Linked DNA regions of Nothobranchius furzeri. The protein of the gene in region 2 purifies or fractionates together with the protein of the main gene of each other region. This does not show direct contact. Links are inferred from orthologs where the notes say so. Each region holds a gene or a part of one and is shown on either strand. Other genes may lie near its edges.

The links. The genes of interacting proteins can lie anywhere in the genome.
Region 1: the proteins of ss18 (region 2) and bicra purify together in Homo sapiens (affinity purification with mass spectrometry; 3 studies listed by BioGRID and IntAct, counting the BioPlex papers as one, with this or other methods). This does not show direct contact. The link is inferred for Nothobranchius furzeri from reciprocal best matches to the Homo sapiens genes SS18 and BICRA.

What each region holds. Positions count from the first base shown.
Region 1 is NC_091753.1:46,786,266-46,794,320, reverse strand, and holds the start of bicra (BRD4-interacting chromatin-remodeling complex-associated protein), read left to right. Parts: upstream 1-3,624; 5' UTR 3,625-3,692; intron 3,693-5,361; 5' UTR 5,362-5,366; coding exon 5,367-5,407; intron 5,408-5,519; coding exon 5,520-5,565; intron 5,566-6,026; coding exon 6,027-6,092; intron 6,093-6,305; coding exon 6,306-8,055. Other genes in the region: napab (N-ethylmaleimide-sensitive factor attachment protein, alpha b), read right to left, coding at 69-115, 1,259-1,533, 2,205-2,302. UniProt on the Homo sapiens protein: Component of SWI/SNF chromatin remodeling subcomplex GBAF that carries out key enzymatic activities, changing chromatin structure by altering DNA-histone contacts within a nucleosome in an ATP-dependent manner.
Region 2 is NC_091751.1:52,436,669-52,444,959, forward strand, and holds the start of ss18 (protein SSXT), read left to right. Parts: upstream 1-2,901; 5' UTR 2,902-3,021; coding exon 3,022-3,087; intron 3,088-3,527; coding exon 3,528-3,604; intron 3,605-3,684; coding exon 3,685-3,775; intron 3,776-4,390; coding exon 4,391-4,547; intron 4,548-4,962; coding exon 4,963-5,193; intron 5,194-5,870; coding exon 5,871-6,041; intron 6,042-6,337; coding exon 6,338-6,415; intron 6,416-8,291. Other genes in the region: psma8 (proteasome subunit alpha-type 8), read right to left, coding at 966-1,090, 1,228-1,354, 2,165-2,266. UniProt on the Homo sapiens protein: Appears to function synergistically with RBM14 as a transcriptional coactivator. Isoform 1 and isoform 2 function in nuclear receptor coactivation. Isoform 1 and isoform 2 function in general transcriptional coactivation.

The DNA of each region.
Region 1 (8,055 bases), on a different chromosome or scaffold from region 2:
CAAAATTAAAAACACAAATCAATAAAACTATAATAGCTTAGGAGGGGGATTTGTATTAAAAACCTCACCATATCCGTGTATATTTCAATAGCTCGGTTTAGGCAGTTTATGGCCTCTGTTGAGAGAAAAACATCAGTTCAGTGAATGACAAGAAATAAGTAAAAGGAAATTTCTTTCCACTGCAGAAAACAGACTTTAGACAAAGTTCACTCATTTTCTCAATACATCTGCAGTGATCTCTAGAATGCATGAATGGCTTGTGAAACAACATCTCATGCTCCTGTTTCAGGAAGCAGAAGTGAGCAGAATTCCTGATGTTCGGACATCTCACCTCTGATTGACTAACATTAACACAACTCTACCACTGACTGTTCTGCAACACTGATATGTTATCTCCTCAAATAACACAAGCCTAAAGGAGTTCTGCTATGTTGTGGAGTTGCTCATGCTAACAGTTAGTGTCTACTAGCTCTGCTCTTTTCTGGGTGCTAAACCAACAACAGCCTTCCCCCGTCGTGAGCCAAGATGGGCGAGTCCATGAATGTTAATTCACAGCTTGATGTAGAGCTGACTGTACTTTCTAACTCAAACATTTCCCCATCTATTTTCTATGGGCGACTAATGCAGGAAATATGGGTAGAAGACTTTTTTCACGTTCAGCCTGTACACAAAACTCAGAGCTTCCAATCATATTTACATAATAATAAGTAAAAAAAAGTTTCTCAGTGAACTTGGTCTTTAAATGCACTTCTGTAGGAAACATTTACCCTAAACATCAGAATCAGGCTTACCCAGAAACTTCTGCACAGGTTGAGGAGTTTAACATTTCTGACTGCTCAAGAATTCCTGGTATTTGTCTTTGACGTTTCATCTTACTTATATCACATTTAGTTTTGAGTTGTGCCACCTGCACAGGCACAAATAAACTGCTGCAAACAGGCATTGATGTTGTTCAAAATCTGCATGTATAAAAACTACCCTTAGTTTTAAAAATAAAGAGTCTCGATCAGGGGTAAGTCTATAGAAGACAGCTAAATTTCAGACACACAAGATGCTTGGAACTAAGCTAGTATGGGGTAAACTAAAGACTGTAGATAAGTGTACACAGTCATGGGATCAAACTTGCTGCCAAACCAGGTATTAATTAGATTGGCTGCACTTTATATGAAGTTAATTTTAAAAAGTCCAAAAATGTATTTCCTTCCAGATTTTAAAACCTTTTACAAAGAGCTCCATGTAAAATTGAGTGACCTCTTACCTTGTGGATCTGCTTTTTTGAAGGCATTTCCAGCATCTATGAGATTAGTTGCTGCATCGTGTTTACTCTGCATTTGCAGGTGAAGATGAGCAGCCTGAGCAAACGCATTTCCTGCAGCTGAAAAGAAAACACAAATTAAAAGATAAAACATATCAACAGATATGCACAAGGAAGGGAAAGTAACTGTCCTCTTACCACACCAGTTTTTGGCCATTTTGTACATGTTGGCTGCCCTCACATACAGATCACAGGCCTCTTCCAGCTTGGAGGAGCTCCTGTGTGAAAGAAAAAACGTGTAAAAAAACAACAACTATAAGATACTGGTTATTAGCAGGTTAGGATCGTGTAAATGCAATAAACAAGACTGGATAATAAGTAATTACTTTTCAAAATAAAAATAGTAGATAGTATTTCATCTGTTGAGATTGTTGTCCAATAATGACAATATTTCCGCACCAACATTTTTATGGCAAAAGGCAAATATCAATAAATAATTTTCATTAGATTTGATACAACTTTGAGGTTTCTACTGTAAACATTGTGACGATTTGCACAATACGGAACAGCCAGCAGATGGTGCTACAGCAGAGCTAATGTGATCACACTTTTTAAAAAAATATTTTTTTACAGTCATACTTAAATAAAAACGAATTTAGTATTCTGTTATCGTCCATGTCAAACAACGGTTTGTTCAGTGTAATTTTTCTCAGTTTACTGGGATAAACGGCTACGTGTTAGTCTTTGTTGTTTGCAGACGTTATGGTCAGCAGAAATCCGGGGAAATAACCTTACGTCCGTAGACAAATACTCTCAATACCACAACATCTTAACAGCAGCTCCAGTCCTGTTGTGCCCAGCCATCAGCCCTGGTGTTAGGTGGTCACCTTCCGCATAGCTGGCCCTCAGCTTGAAAGCAGAAGCTAAACATCAGCTAACTAAAACTCACCCAAACAGCGACCCGAAAAACGACTGAGATGATTTAACTTTCTTCTCCGCCTCCGCCATTAAAGCTGTAGCTTCTTTTTCTTTCCCACTGTTATCCATTCTGCTTTACTTGTTTTTCTGAATCTAAAGGGGGGCGAAAAAATACTAAAGTCAACAAAGTTGCTAAGTATTGCTAACAGCAGTGTCACATCAGCAGCCAGCGCTTTCTCTGTCACGTGACAATGGGAGGGCGGTCACAGCCCTGCTGCCTTCAGGTGCTGCTCGTACGGTCCAGAGTTGGTCCATTACAAATCTATAATGTTTCATGTTATAAACTGATTGTAGACCATGCTGCAACACAATATATCAATCGATAATTTAATTAAGAAACATGTTCGTTGTTAATATTTGCTGTAGAAACAAAGGAATCGCTTCTAATCTGTCTCAGGATCATTACAGTGCGTTCATGACAATCTATATAAAACAGTTCCCTTGTGTTATCTGTTTTCAACAGCCAATTATTTTTCTATAAGCAATCAGACATTAAAGGTGACAATATTTAAGCATAAATGTTGTAATAAAACGTAATAGCGTAAATATCTTCAAAAGTGCAGTTTTAAAGGAATATTGATTAGAATTATAATAAGAAAATGCTTTCCTTTAGTCAATGCCAGTTCCATTATAAAGAGACATTTTTAATCAAAATGGGTTAGCATCATAATGAAACTGTTTGTCAGCTGAAATCTTTACAATTTTAACATAAATAATAGATAACAACTATGTTAAGTGGTTTTCCAGGCTTTGCATTATAGCACAGTGAATTAAATGTGTGTAAAATATTTTGTTGAAAAATACATGACAAACATATTTTAGGGCTATGGGTTGTGGTAGGTAACTACATGAGTCAAACATTCAAATACCTTTTTAAAATTTACAAAAATAATCACGTATTTTAGAACTATACAAAAATTATTTAAAATATGGAAAAGGAATGTTTTCTTGTAGATTATGTTACAGTATTTTGCTTAGGCTTTTTGTAGATTAGTTTGTTCTTTTCTTAGCCAAAATCATATAATCTGATTGCAGTTCAAGACTGGGTTGCATTTATCTAACAAATCTGCTGGCATTTGTTAACATGACTGCTTTTATATTTTTTTACATTTGTGATCCAGTTTCTTTTATGATTTCATTTTAAGCAATTTCTCCCCACAGGCTTCCTCTGCTGTTCCTGCCTTTCTATTGATGTTTTTTGAGTTTTAAAAATGAAAACAAGTTAACATGAAGAATATGTCAAATTTAAGAATGCACTAATTAACACAACAAAAATGTTCAAAAACCGTTTAATGTTCCGAATGGGTATTTGTGTGTAAAGAAAGTCTCGATAAACAACATGGATTTCAATCAGGCAGAGCGGAAGTCTGCCGTTTCCTGCCAGTAGTTGGGTCCTGTTGAGCAGCCCGTGCGAGGCTGTCCTGGAGACCCCGCGCTGCCTGCACCTCTAACGTCTCGGGTGAGTTTGTTACAATGTAACAATTTCTCCATTAATCCCAATATCCGCTACAAAGCTGCGATATCTGCTAACTGTTCAGCAGACACGAACCGCACTGCTACCGCAAAAGAAGCGACACACTGCCGCATCACACCGTAAACAGGCTCGTTTTCCAACGAATTCCCAAGCATACCCCCTCTCATCCAAGAGTATTCCAACATTTACTGATATTCTGCTTGCAATTAGCAATAGCTCGCCACGTAGTTGCGTTTACGACTATAAGCAGACAGCATTTCTTCGTTTTAGCTCAACCGGACTGCCGCTGTGCGTAATTTGTGTTAAAATTGTGTCACTCTGGTTTGTTTTGAATGTCAAAGGCTCGAGCTAGCTATACGTCTGAATATTGTTGATAGCGGGGGTAGCTTGCTAGGCTAACGAAAGTCAACCCAAAAGCACCCAAATTGCTGAAATTACGGATGAAACTGTTTTAATTTCAAACATTTGAGTCGTAGGTCAGCTGTGTTGCTGTCAGATACTGTACGTTGGGGGAATTTGTTGAGGTATGCATGCAAAGCTCATTAAAAACATCAGCTAGCATCTAGCATTCCGTTTGCAGCGTCTCCATTCATATCCTGCGCACTGGTTTTCTGTAACCGAGCTGCGATCGGCGGACAGCTGGGACTCCTGCATCATGTCCACAATTTATTTGCATAGAAACTGTGTTGGTTTGGTTTTCGTGTTGTTGGACGAGCTGTGCACGGTTAAAAGTCAGCGACAGCTTACGCTCAAAATCTTTCCAGGCGGTGCGAAAACCGCGCGTTTTCAGTTTGTTGTCTGCTGTTTGATCGTGTTCAGAAATTTTAAGTTTTGTTACGTGTCTCGATGAGTTCAGGGCCGCACCAAGGTTGTTTGATACCGAGCGTACATGGGGAAAAATCTCGCTTTGTAATTGATATTGATAATCAAACGCTAGGTTAGACAGTTTTCGTTTTTTAGGAACTCAGAATTACTTTCTATGTTGATTCATAGTTTTTAATATAAACTAAATGCCTGATAGCATTGAGTGGTCTTTAAGATTTTTTTCCAAAGAAAAAATTTGTGTATAAAGTATATGAATACATTTTTTCATTGTTTTGAACGTTTCTTGCTGTCAAACATTTATTCATAAGTCAGAAAGAGTTTGTTGCTGGCCTATGGAGACTTCTCATAGCTTTTTACCATCAGGGAGGAAATAAAAAAACCTATGTCTAAAGGGAAAGACTCACTTCCACTAAAGAACTCTTTCTTCAAAAGAAGACACAGATGATTACTGAATAATTACCCGGATGTTTTTGGGGTGTGTGCCATGCCATCTCTTACTGCAAAAAACTGCCACTTAACAATATTTGTAATTATTCGCTTGGATTGTTTAAATGCCTGTATCGGTGGCTCAAGACTTTTTGAAAGTCAGTCTTTATCTTGCATCTACATGTCTTTAATGGCTCGAGTTTTGCTGGAGTAAATATGAAAATGTCGTTTAAAATTTAGTCAGCATGTGGTTTGAGAAAGTCAAGAATAATTATGAAGTTAAACCTAAGACAAACCCCATGTAATTCTTAATAACCATGTTATACAAAATGTAACTGAGTATTTTGGTTGTGATTGTTGAACAAGTCATGACCGAGCTTGAAGGTGTTTTTCATCTCAACAGTTGTCATGGATGATGAAGACGGCAGGTGCCTTCTAGATGTAATTTGGTAAGTATGTTCTGACAGCGTGAAAGACCTGATTCTAGTATTGTAGGAAATTTTATATCAGATTGTTCGGTTATGTGTCATTGTGTCACACATCTGTTGTTTTCTCCATCAGCGACCCAGAAGCTCTTAATGACTTTCTTCATGGATCTGAGACCCATGTAAGTATGAGAAGGGCTAACAAATGGCCGCATTTAGCAAAGCTTCACGATACAAGTTCTCCACTGATGAGTGACTTGTTCAGGTTTTATCTTTGTTGCTTTTGCATCTCTAATAAAATCAGTTTCGGCTCACAAGTTGATACACCCTGTAACCTGCATCCCTCACTGCTCTCATTAAACTTTTTATAACTCCTCTGCCTAATGGTTGCATTTGGGTTGCCAGAACAATAATTCCTATTACTAACGTTTCCCAACTCTTGAGTTATTCCTGTCATTTTGTTCCTCTGTAGCTTATCTCTTTACTGATGCTTTACGTTCTGGGTTCTCTGAACCATGTTCTGCCCTTGCCTTGCCCTCCCTCTGTTTTGATGGTCTGTATGTTTGTCCTGGTGACTTTTTTGCCTGCTGGTTTGGGTGTCTTTGGTTTCTGTCTGTCTTACCCTTGGTGGGTGTGTCTGTAGTTGGACACTGACGACCTTTTGGATGGTTCGAGTGACCCCTCCAGCTCGTTCTTCTCTGCCACTGGGGTGAGTAAAGCCCCCCACTTTTTTTTCCTGCTGTTGTCCATCCATCTTTGTTGCATGCTTCCCTAAATCCCTCCCTTTTCCACTAACAGATCTACAGTCAACATGCTATAATTCGCTGCAATTGTACGAGATGTTTTATTGGGCTTTTGTTTTTGTTTCCAATCAGTCATGTTCCTCGCTATCATGTCTGGTTTCACTTTTTCTTTTTTAAAGGGACATGTTCCAGAGGTCCAGCCTGCAGTCCAGCTGTCGGCCAGCGAATCAGCAGGCCTGCCGAGAGTCAGCGTTGACCTGGACTTCCTTGAGGATGATGACATCTTGGGTGGATCTCCAGGTGGAGAAGGTGGTAGCAATGGCATTGGGACAAATCACGAGACATGCGACATCTTGCAGCAGAGTTTGGCTGAGGCCAACATCACAGAGCAAAGCCTGCAGGAGGCAGGTGCCGAGCTGGACCTGGATACCTTTGGAATTCCAGGCCTTGCACAGGTGGTTCAGGCACTGCCTGATGCCAGCCTCGCTGGAGCTGGAGGCACACCTGTTGGTGTAGGCATTGGCGTCGGTGGAGCTGCGACGATTTTTCCCGGGTCTGCCCCGAGCACCACGGCTACTCCCCCCAACGCCACAGCTGACATGCTTGGTTCAGTGCTCGCTCAGCAGGGCCTTCAGCTCCAGTCCCAGGTTATGAACAAAGCTATTAGCGTTCAGCCATTTATGCAGCCTGTGGGCCTGGGAAACGTGACTCTTCAGCCCATTTCAAGTCTCCAGGCTCTCTCCAACGGGAGTCAGTCGGGACATTTGGGTATCGGACAGATTCAGGTTGTGGGCCAGCCTACCGTGATGACTATCAATCAGTCTGGGCAGCCAGTCTTGGCTAAAGCCATGAGTGGATACCAGCTGCACCAGTCAGGTTCGGAGGTATCAGCTGCTGGTTCTCAGGCAGGACTTGGAGCCTCGGGAGGTGGACTTCTAATCCAAGGCAACAAAGCGACTTTGGGATCTCCAGCTTTAAATGGACCGGCTGTTTGTGTCAGCAGCACAAGCAGCAGCGGTAGTGGTACCATTACCGCTCCCGCTGGGCTTGTCGGCTTTGGAAGTACCCCTCTGAGTGCAGGGGTGGCACCACAAACGCAAAATCCGGGCCAGATCATGCAGAACGTGATCATCCAGCGTACACCAACACCCATTCAGCCCAAACCCGCACAGGGGGGAGCCATTCATAGTAAACTCTTCAAACCACAACAACAGTCGCAGCCCCAACAAGCAGCTCCCCAGGCCATGCAAAATGATGCCCATAAGGCTCTTGGGCTTCAACAAATTCCAGTTTCTGCTGCTCAGAATGTGGCCTTCCTAACAGGAAAACCAGGTTCTAATGTTGTGTTGAGCACTCGGGCTGCAACACAGGGCCCCCAGTTCCAACAAACTCTATTCAAGCAACATGCTGCACAGCCGTCCGGCAAACCCCTCAGTGTGCATTTGTTAAACCAACAAGGCAGCATCGTTATTCCCTCTCAAACGGTTCTCCAAGGTCAGAACCACCAGTTCCTCCTGCCCCAGCTACAGGCAGGTGGGCAGATCCTAACCCAGCATCCTGGTGGCCACATCATAACCAGTCAAGGTCCAGGTGGACAGCTCATTGCAAACCAGATTCTAACAGCAAACCAGAACATTAATTTGGGTCAGGTGTTGACATCACAGGGCCACGCTGGGGCTGCCCACATCCTCTCTGGACCCATTCAGCTCCAGCCCGGCCAGATGGGCACACCTACCCTCTTCCAGATGCCTGTGGCCTCTCTGGCACAAAGTCAAAGCCAGACGCAGACCCCTGCTGCCTCAGGTCATGCCCCCACAGTGATACAGGGCATGCCCATCCAGAACTCTCTGACCATGGTGAGTCAGGTGGAGGGACTGAGCCCTGCAGTCAGCCTTCAGCCAGCCCTGCATCCCCCACCTGGGGGAGTCC
Region 2 (8,291 bases):
TACAAATGTATAAAACAGCCAATAAAAGAGAAGTCAATAAAAACAGAAGTCAGTAAAACAGAAGAGTCACAGCATAAAAGACCGATCATTGACCAAAAGCCAAATTAAAAATATGTCTTCAGGCTGGATTTAAACTGTGCCAGTGAAGAAGCCTGGTGTACCACCAGAGGAAGTGCGTTCCAAAGTCTTGGAGCTGCAAAGGCGAACGCACGCTGATTCTAAGTGTGGCCTCTTAAGAATGGGCTTTAGTCGGGCAAGGCGACGAAGCTGGAAGAAGCAGGATCGAACAGAGTATATATATATATATATATATATATATATATATATATATATATATATATATATAGCCATATATATATGGTCCATTCGGCTGTTGGTGTCACAGAACCGGCGCACTTCCCTAGGTGCTCCACTCGTACATTTTGCAACAGAACACCACTGGTGTGAGAGGTTCTCCACTCCTTAATATCAGTGGAGAAACAGCCCGCTGCTATCACTTAAACTTTAGCACAAATTACCAGAGTCCCAAAAAGAAAAACACATTTGAAGTCATGGACAACAAAGGACATTTGGACTCTGAAAATGGCAACTGGTGTTTCTCATCTCATTTCTTCTGGCAACATGGGTTTCCAGTTCCAACAGAAGTGTCTCAGGGAATATACCCAAGGGGAGTGTCACGTGACTGTTAGCATTCAAATTCTAGCTTGCTTGCAGATTTATTATAACAGCTTTAAATTAGGAGAATAACACAAAGCCAACTGGACTTTGGCTCTCAACTTAAAAGCTTTTTTTTATTCAAACCAAAGTGTGTGAAATTCCAAGCATTTAAATGTGTCATTAAAACATGAATCTTTAATAAGACAGAAAAAAATACACAAGAAAGCATCATTTCCTATGAACATGAAAGTTTGAGGACTTCTTTACACAAATTAAGATTGAGATATAAGTGTAAAACAATAACTCACTTGTTTCAGTGTTGCTATGTATCGTGTGATGTATTCCACTGTGACTGGGTCCTCAACCGTTAGCCTGTGGCTCTGGCACTCAACCCGAGCTCTGTTTATCACGATACGGGCATCTGCCGTCAGACCTAAAACCAAAATGTAAACATTGGCAAAAGGCAAATGAAAATTAAAAGATTTCCAACTGACAAATGATTGCATATAATATGTTTTAAGTAGAAGTTATTTTTTTTTTGCCGTTTCAATAATGACTTGTTTTTGGTACCTGCAAATGCCATGCAGACGTGTTCATCCAGGGCACATATCTTACGAACAGTCCTTTCCTCCTGCAACTTTGCCACAGATTTCTTCTCCACACCGAGGACAACAATGTCTTTACCCCTGATTCCCACCTAAACAGAATGAAATAATTGAATTTTACATTTGACAAATATACATTTGGATTAATTTACAGCAACACAAAATACTCTAAATAAACATGATTGTTAAATTAAGGCCTTGTTGTAATGAATAAATCACTATGCAGCTTAATTTAATTAAATCTAAAGTTTTATTAAGCCAAGTAGTTTTCTATTTAAGCCATGCTTATTTAGAGGGTCTGCCTCTCCTATTGCAAATGTAAAAGTGCTCATCAAGAATATGTTTTGTGCATCGACACAGCTTCAACTGAACCCCAATTGAAAAGGTTATTATTAGATGCCGTGCACTTCCAACAAAAGCCACTAAGTTACACTGTAACAGCATTGATACTTTAATAGTCAGGTATGGTGTCGCTACAGTGTCAAGTTTGAGCTACTTTATGCTAGCAAAACAGATCCTTACAAAAACACAGAAAAGCAATGATTTTGTTCACTTATAACCTTTAATCCGTAGCCTAACTTTGTTTCTACTAATTCAATCGACACCGTGAATCTATTTCTCCGTACCGCTGAAACTTGACAATAGCGGATCAAAACTGAAAGTAATTGAGTGACACAGCGACTAAATGCTAGCCATGGCGTGCGCTTTTCCCCTTCGTTAACTTTATATTAAGCGTTAACAAAATTATACACTTACAGTCTAAAACTATAAACAGGTCACAAAAAGTTAAGCTTGTTAAATTGAGGAAATAAAATGAATACATCATCTAAAGAGCTAGTAGCTGCCCGCTAGCGGTTAGCTAGCCACGTTAGCTTTTGCATTATTTTCATTTAAAGACGTACCGCTGTAGAGCCTTTCTTTACAGCTTCTTGTGCATACTCCACTTGAAACAGGTGGCCGTCGGGAGAAAAGACAGTGATAGCTCTATCATATCTTGCCGCCATTGCACTGCAAGACAATCCCAATCAAACGAATAAAGGAAACAGAGCAACCTCAACCAGATGATTCAGCTAGTTAGCAAATAGCCGCTCACTCGTTTTGCGTTCACAAATCAGCGCATGCGCGTAACCTTTAAACTGCGATGTACCAAAAGTGGGTCCCGCATTTCCGCCAAAGAAAAATTGTGATAAAAACACGAGTTTGATGATAATTGTGCTGTTAAAAATAGATATGGAAGAAATATGTTAAATAAAAAAAATACTAAATACGCATTATTTCTTGCTTTCCAGTGTGAAATATGGGTGTATATAAAATGCTATTTGTATTACTTATCAATTCGTTTATATCATAATTATCGCTGTTATTCTTTTTTCCCCTCTTTTTGCTGTGTAGTTCCTGCTGCCCCGTGGTGTTTCAGTCTAGCTGCAGACTGTTCCATTATATGAAAAATAGGTGGAATCGTAATTCTGTGAAGCAGTAAAAATGCGTTTTTGACGACAATATGACATATTTTCTTGACAATTTTCTCACTAGATTTAATACGAACTTCGATATTTAGTAAATAATCGAGTTAAGTGACAGTAAAAGACTTAACGTTAAAATTCCCTGATATCTCCCCACCCCTAAACGGGCCACTGCATTATGAAATTACACCGTATTCAGAGCTGCTGTGTGATTAACAGTTCTACCGATTTGTTTTGCTTGTGAGCTAATTTAAGCTTTTATGCTTTAGTTTGCTTTCGTTTGTAATATTATCACCATGTCGGTGGCATTTGCACCTCACAGGCAACGGAAGGGTGATATAACACCCGCTGGGATACAAAAGGTAATTCATCTTTTTAGCGCGGCGCATTATGGAGGCTGTGCTAGCGAAGGCTGCTAACCGTTGATTGCTAATGTAGCAGTGCCAGTCCAAGTCCAACTGTGGGCAGATTGGAAACAATGCTATGCGGTCTAAGCGCGGTCAATATGAACCTCCCTAAATCCAGACGCCATGTGTTCATGGTGAACTTTATGTCGATTGCTAGATGAATGGAGGCCCTCGGTTTGATTAGCAGAAGATAGCTAGCCTGCAAGTCGCGTCTTTTGTTAGCTAGAAACGCACGCTCACATTAACAAAACACCCCCCTTTGTTGTCAAGTTTAAACAAAAAACTCTACACTAACCTCGCGAAATAATACAACGTCACACATTTTAGAAAAATAAGCCCTAATGTTATCAGAAGTGACACCAATGTGACCAAAACACCTGCATTTACTTTTGTAGTTACTTGATGAAAACAACCAGCTGATCCAGTGTATAATGGACTTCCAGAGTAAAGGCAAAACGGCAGAATGTTCACAGTGAGTTCTGTTTTTTTTACATATATCTTTATTTTTTCAGTAATTGTATGTGCGATGTTAATTACCTTCAATTTACCCAGGTATCAACAGATGCTGCACAGAAATTTAGTGTATCTGGCCACGATAGCAGACTCAAATCAGAACGTGAACGTGCAGTCTCTCCTCCCTGCTGTGAGTACTGGTTCTGATTGATCGTTTAGTGAGTGTTATAACTAATATCCTTTTAAATAGCTGAATTTATACAGCAGATGAGCTCCTCCATGACTCACACAATGCATGTCTTATTTTGAAACTTTTATTTATTTATTTTTTACTTTGAAACAGTGCTTGTTTTTTGTCTTTTTATTTTATTCATCAGGGTATAATTGCACTAATAACTCCCACTTACTGGCTGTAAAGGGTTGTTGCTTGTTAACATTATCACATCACTTTTTAGAAAGTGGTGAACATGTTTGCAGCAGAATACTTTTAATGTGTACTGTTAAGTACTACACTGCATACACAATGTTCACTGAAGCAGCTAAAATTGTTTTTGCTTGTTTTGTTGCAAAATGACTAAATACCACTAATGCAAAATTGGCTAAAAAATACTATCCAACTTCTAGGATTTTTACTTCGATTTTGTATTCTAATCAATTAGATTTCATTTAAGCGCATTCTTAACGTTTCGACAGATGAATTAGAATTGAATTGCATTTTTTCTGTGTCATGTCCTTGTTTCTCAGGCGCAGGTGTGTTTTTAGACATCTGATGTGTATTTTTGTCTTATGTCTCATTCTCCTACAGCCACCCACTCAAAACATGCCCATGGGCCCTGGTGGAATGAACCAAAGTGGACCCTCTCCTCAGCCCCCACATGGTCACAACATGCCATCTGAGGGTATGGTCAGCGGTGGCCCTCCAGCCCCTCATATGCAGAATCAGATGAATGGACAGATGCCTGGTAATTCATTATCTAAATCCCCTGTTCCTTGTCTTTCTCTGTTTTCTCATTCTCCTTCCATCAGTTTCTGTCTTGCTTGTGTTGCCTAGCAACAGCACAGGACTAAGGGAGGTCCTTTTTTGCTGAAGGATGATGTCACCCTTTTGTCTGCTATGGTGGTCTTGGACTTACTCTCTTTTATTCTGGTTATGCTTTACTGACGCACCATAGTTTATGAATGCATTGAATTGGGGATTATTTTATGACTATATCATTTAAAGCAGATATTTGTTTCACATGGAATCTACTGGCCTGTCCTATAGCAACTTAAAAATGTAGTGGATCTCCATCAGTGAGTCTACTTCAGCGCACAAAAAAAAACATTTATATTTTAACTTTTGTTATCTAACATGTATTGTTCACTGATGTTTTTCAGGACCTAATCACATGCCCATGCAAGGTCCTGGTCCAGGACCCAACCAGCCTCCAAACATGCCCAGTGGCTCAATGAACATGCCTCCCAGCAGCCATGGCTCCATGGGTGGCTACAATCACGCAGTTCCTTCTTCCCAAGGCATGCCAGCTCAGAATCAAATGAACATGACCCAAGGCCAACCTATGGGAAACTACGGTCCTCGACCAAACATGAACATGCAGCCCAATCAAGGTGAAACGAGGCATTCCCATTTTTTATAGTCAATTACTGGTTAGATTTACAATGAAAGGAATTTATTAAACACTGATAAAAACCATTTTAAATTATTATTTCGGATTATAATCGGTCACTCTGAGTCTGTCACCTACACCTATCTCCTGGACTAACTTATGATAGAAAATAGACGGTGAAACTCTAGGATTTGAAAAGCCTGACAGATCTACATCACACTGCCACTTAACATTCATGGACTCTCTCATCTTGGCTTGTGACGAGGAAGGCCGTTGTTGGTTAGGTTTGGCGTTTAAGAAACGGCAGAGAACATCTCGACTGGTAGAAGCTAACCATTAGCATTAGCAACTCTGCCACATGGCAGAACTACTCTAGGCATTTGTTATTTGTGGAGATGAAACATAAAAGTTGCAGAGCAAACTGAGTCAGTGTTAGAATTGCTTTGCTGTTAACCAAGTAGAAACGAGATGTCCAAAAATCAGGAAATAAGTCTCCAAAACCTGCCATCTGAAGCTACTTTCTCCTCCAGCTTCCTGGTTCAGACGCATCTGGGTCCTCCTCCCACTCCCAGAGTATGACTTACTTAAGACATTCATTCCTAGTAGAGACCACTGCAAATGTATTGAACAAGAGTTCAACACGTTTAAGTCACTGTGGGGCATGGTTGTGTTCGACAGGTCCGGTGATGCATCAGCAGCCTCCATCGCAGCAGTACAACATGCCCCCTGGTGGTGGTGGACAGCACTACCAAGGCCAACAGACCCCAATGGGTATGATGGGTCAGGTCAACCAAGGGAACCACGTCATGGGGCAGAGGCCAATGCCGCCCTACAGACCTCCACAGCAAGGTAAACCACTCAGTGTGTCAGTTCCACATCCAAGCAGAGTGTCGGTCTTCCTTCTCCTTTTCCCTCCTGTGTTTCTCACTCTTGTTCCTCCCAGTCTGTTTCTATTTCATCTTCTGTAGACTGCAGACAACTTGTTCAGTAACGGTTTAATCCAAAATCCCGTGTAAAATTAGTTGTGACAAAGGGAAAGCTCCTTTAAGATGAACTAGAAGCAAGGAGTCTATCCCCTCTACCCTCTCCTCCCCCCTTACACAGCAACAGCACCTTGAATCTACATGTGTGTATGTTGTATGTAGGACCCCCCCAGCAGTATCCAGGGCAGGAAGACTACTATGGCGACCAGTACAGTCACGCAGGACAGGGCGCCTCAGAAGGTAGGAGAACCCTGCAAGTCACTTGGGAGAACACAGACAATCAGTCAACCCAGGAGTTGAGTCAAAACACAAAAACGATGCTTCGACTAGGGTTGTCACGGTAACCGGTGTAGCGGTAAACCCTGGTAAAAAGTTGACAATAATAATAACCGTCTTGTTTTTAAAAAAAAAACGATATTATCTCGGTGGATTACCGTGGCTGTGGTGTAGGCGCGGTGACCCTTACCAGCCACCGTATCATCTGCTGAAGTTGCTGGCGGCACATGCGCGCTTTGTTGTTTACAACCAAAACTTTCTTGAAGCTAAAGCTGAAATAATGGTCAAAGGAGGAGACGGCAGCGCTCAGGAGGACATTTTTTATCCCTCAAAGAAGACAAAGTGGGAAGTACGGGCATCTTTTGGATATTTGAAGAATGCCGAGGGACAGTTGATAGAAGACGGCTATCCTGTTTGCAGCACGTGCAGAAAAAGTGTCTGTGAAAGGCAGCAACGCTTCAAATCTCATGACACATCTGCGTGACCATCTCCCGCAACTCTACAGTCAACGCAAGGCAAGCTAACGTTAGCGTTTTAGCTAGAATGCGTGATCCGAGGATTTGGGTTGAGGGAGAATGCAACGAGTCGCTATACAAAGCAGCCGCAGCGCCGCTACCTGCATATAAACCGTGTCACGGACACCCCATGTTGAAATGACGCTATGCATTACAGGGCTCCCAGGGGCAGATAAGAGTTGGTCTCTCTCCGAGAATAATTAAGAATTTAACAATGATTACTGCCTGATGACATTTTCCCACATCTGCAAAGCTCACTGGAAGGACACAAACCGAGGACAATATTTTCCTGATATACGGTTTATTACTCAAGTAAGGGTAAAAAAGTATCTGATTAGAAGGCTACTTGAGTACTGAGTATCATCTGATCTAATATTTTTAAAATGATGACATCAAACAGACAAAATAAGAAGATATGGGCAAATATTGGTATTTTAAAGACTAAAGGGGAAATATGTAAACAAATAAACAACATAATTACAAAATAACACATTTTAAGCAAAATTTAGACAAACTGAGGACAATATCTCCTGATATACAGGGTTTATTAAATTGTGTGAAAATGTAGCACGTTTAAAAAAAAATACCGCGATAATACCGAAAACCATGGTAATTTTGGTCACAATAACCGTGAGGTTAAATTTTCACACCATGACAACCCTAGCTTCGACAAAGCAAAACATTTCAGTTTCTGCAATGCATTCTGGGGATTTTAGGCTCTAGATGGCTCATACTTATTTTACATGCTACTTTGTTAATTTTTTCAGTTTTTGCAATACAGTCTGCATGTTCATTTTCTGTAAGCAATTATAAGTCCAGGTTTACTGACAAATATTGAAAAAGCAGCACAAACTACCATCTAGCGTAACTGTCTTGTTACAGTGTCATGAGACGGTTACAGTAGATGTCTCGTGACGCTAAAACATTTGCAGTTTGATCTGTTCAATTCACTGACTTGGTAAAAGTACAAAACTCTTCCTCTTTGTCTTGTTAACATTTACTTTTGTGGTTTTGTTTTTCTTCTAATAACCCTTTTCCTCCCTATGAACTTTCAAACATGGAGCTTATTTTTTCTAACAAGAAAACAAATATCTAAAGTGTGGGTGTGTACAATCTGCCACCAAGTCATGTTTGTTCACTTTTAACTCAAAATAAACTAAAGTAATTATGTCTAGACTTAGAAAAGTGCTGATCCGTTTCTGTCTGTTTTAGTGAGAGAATTAGTTTAGAATTTCAGACCGTAGTTTTATGGTTTTATTTAAAATATTCTGTGACTTTCTGCACATTTTAAAATGAAAATGAGCTCAGTTACTTTACATCTAGCA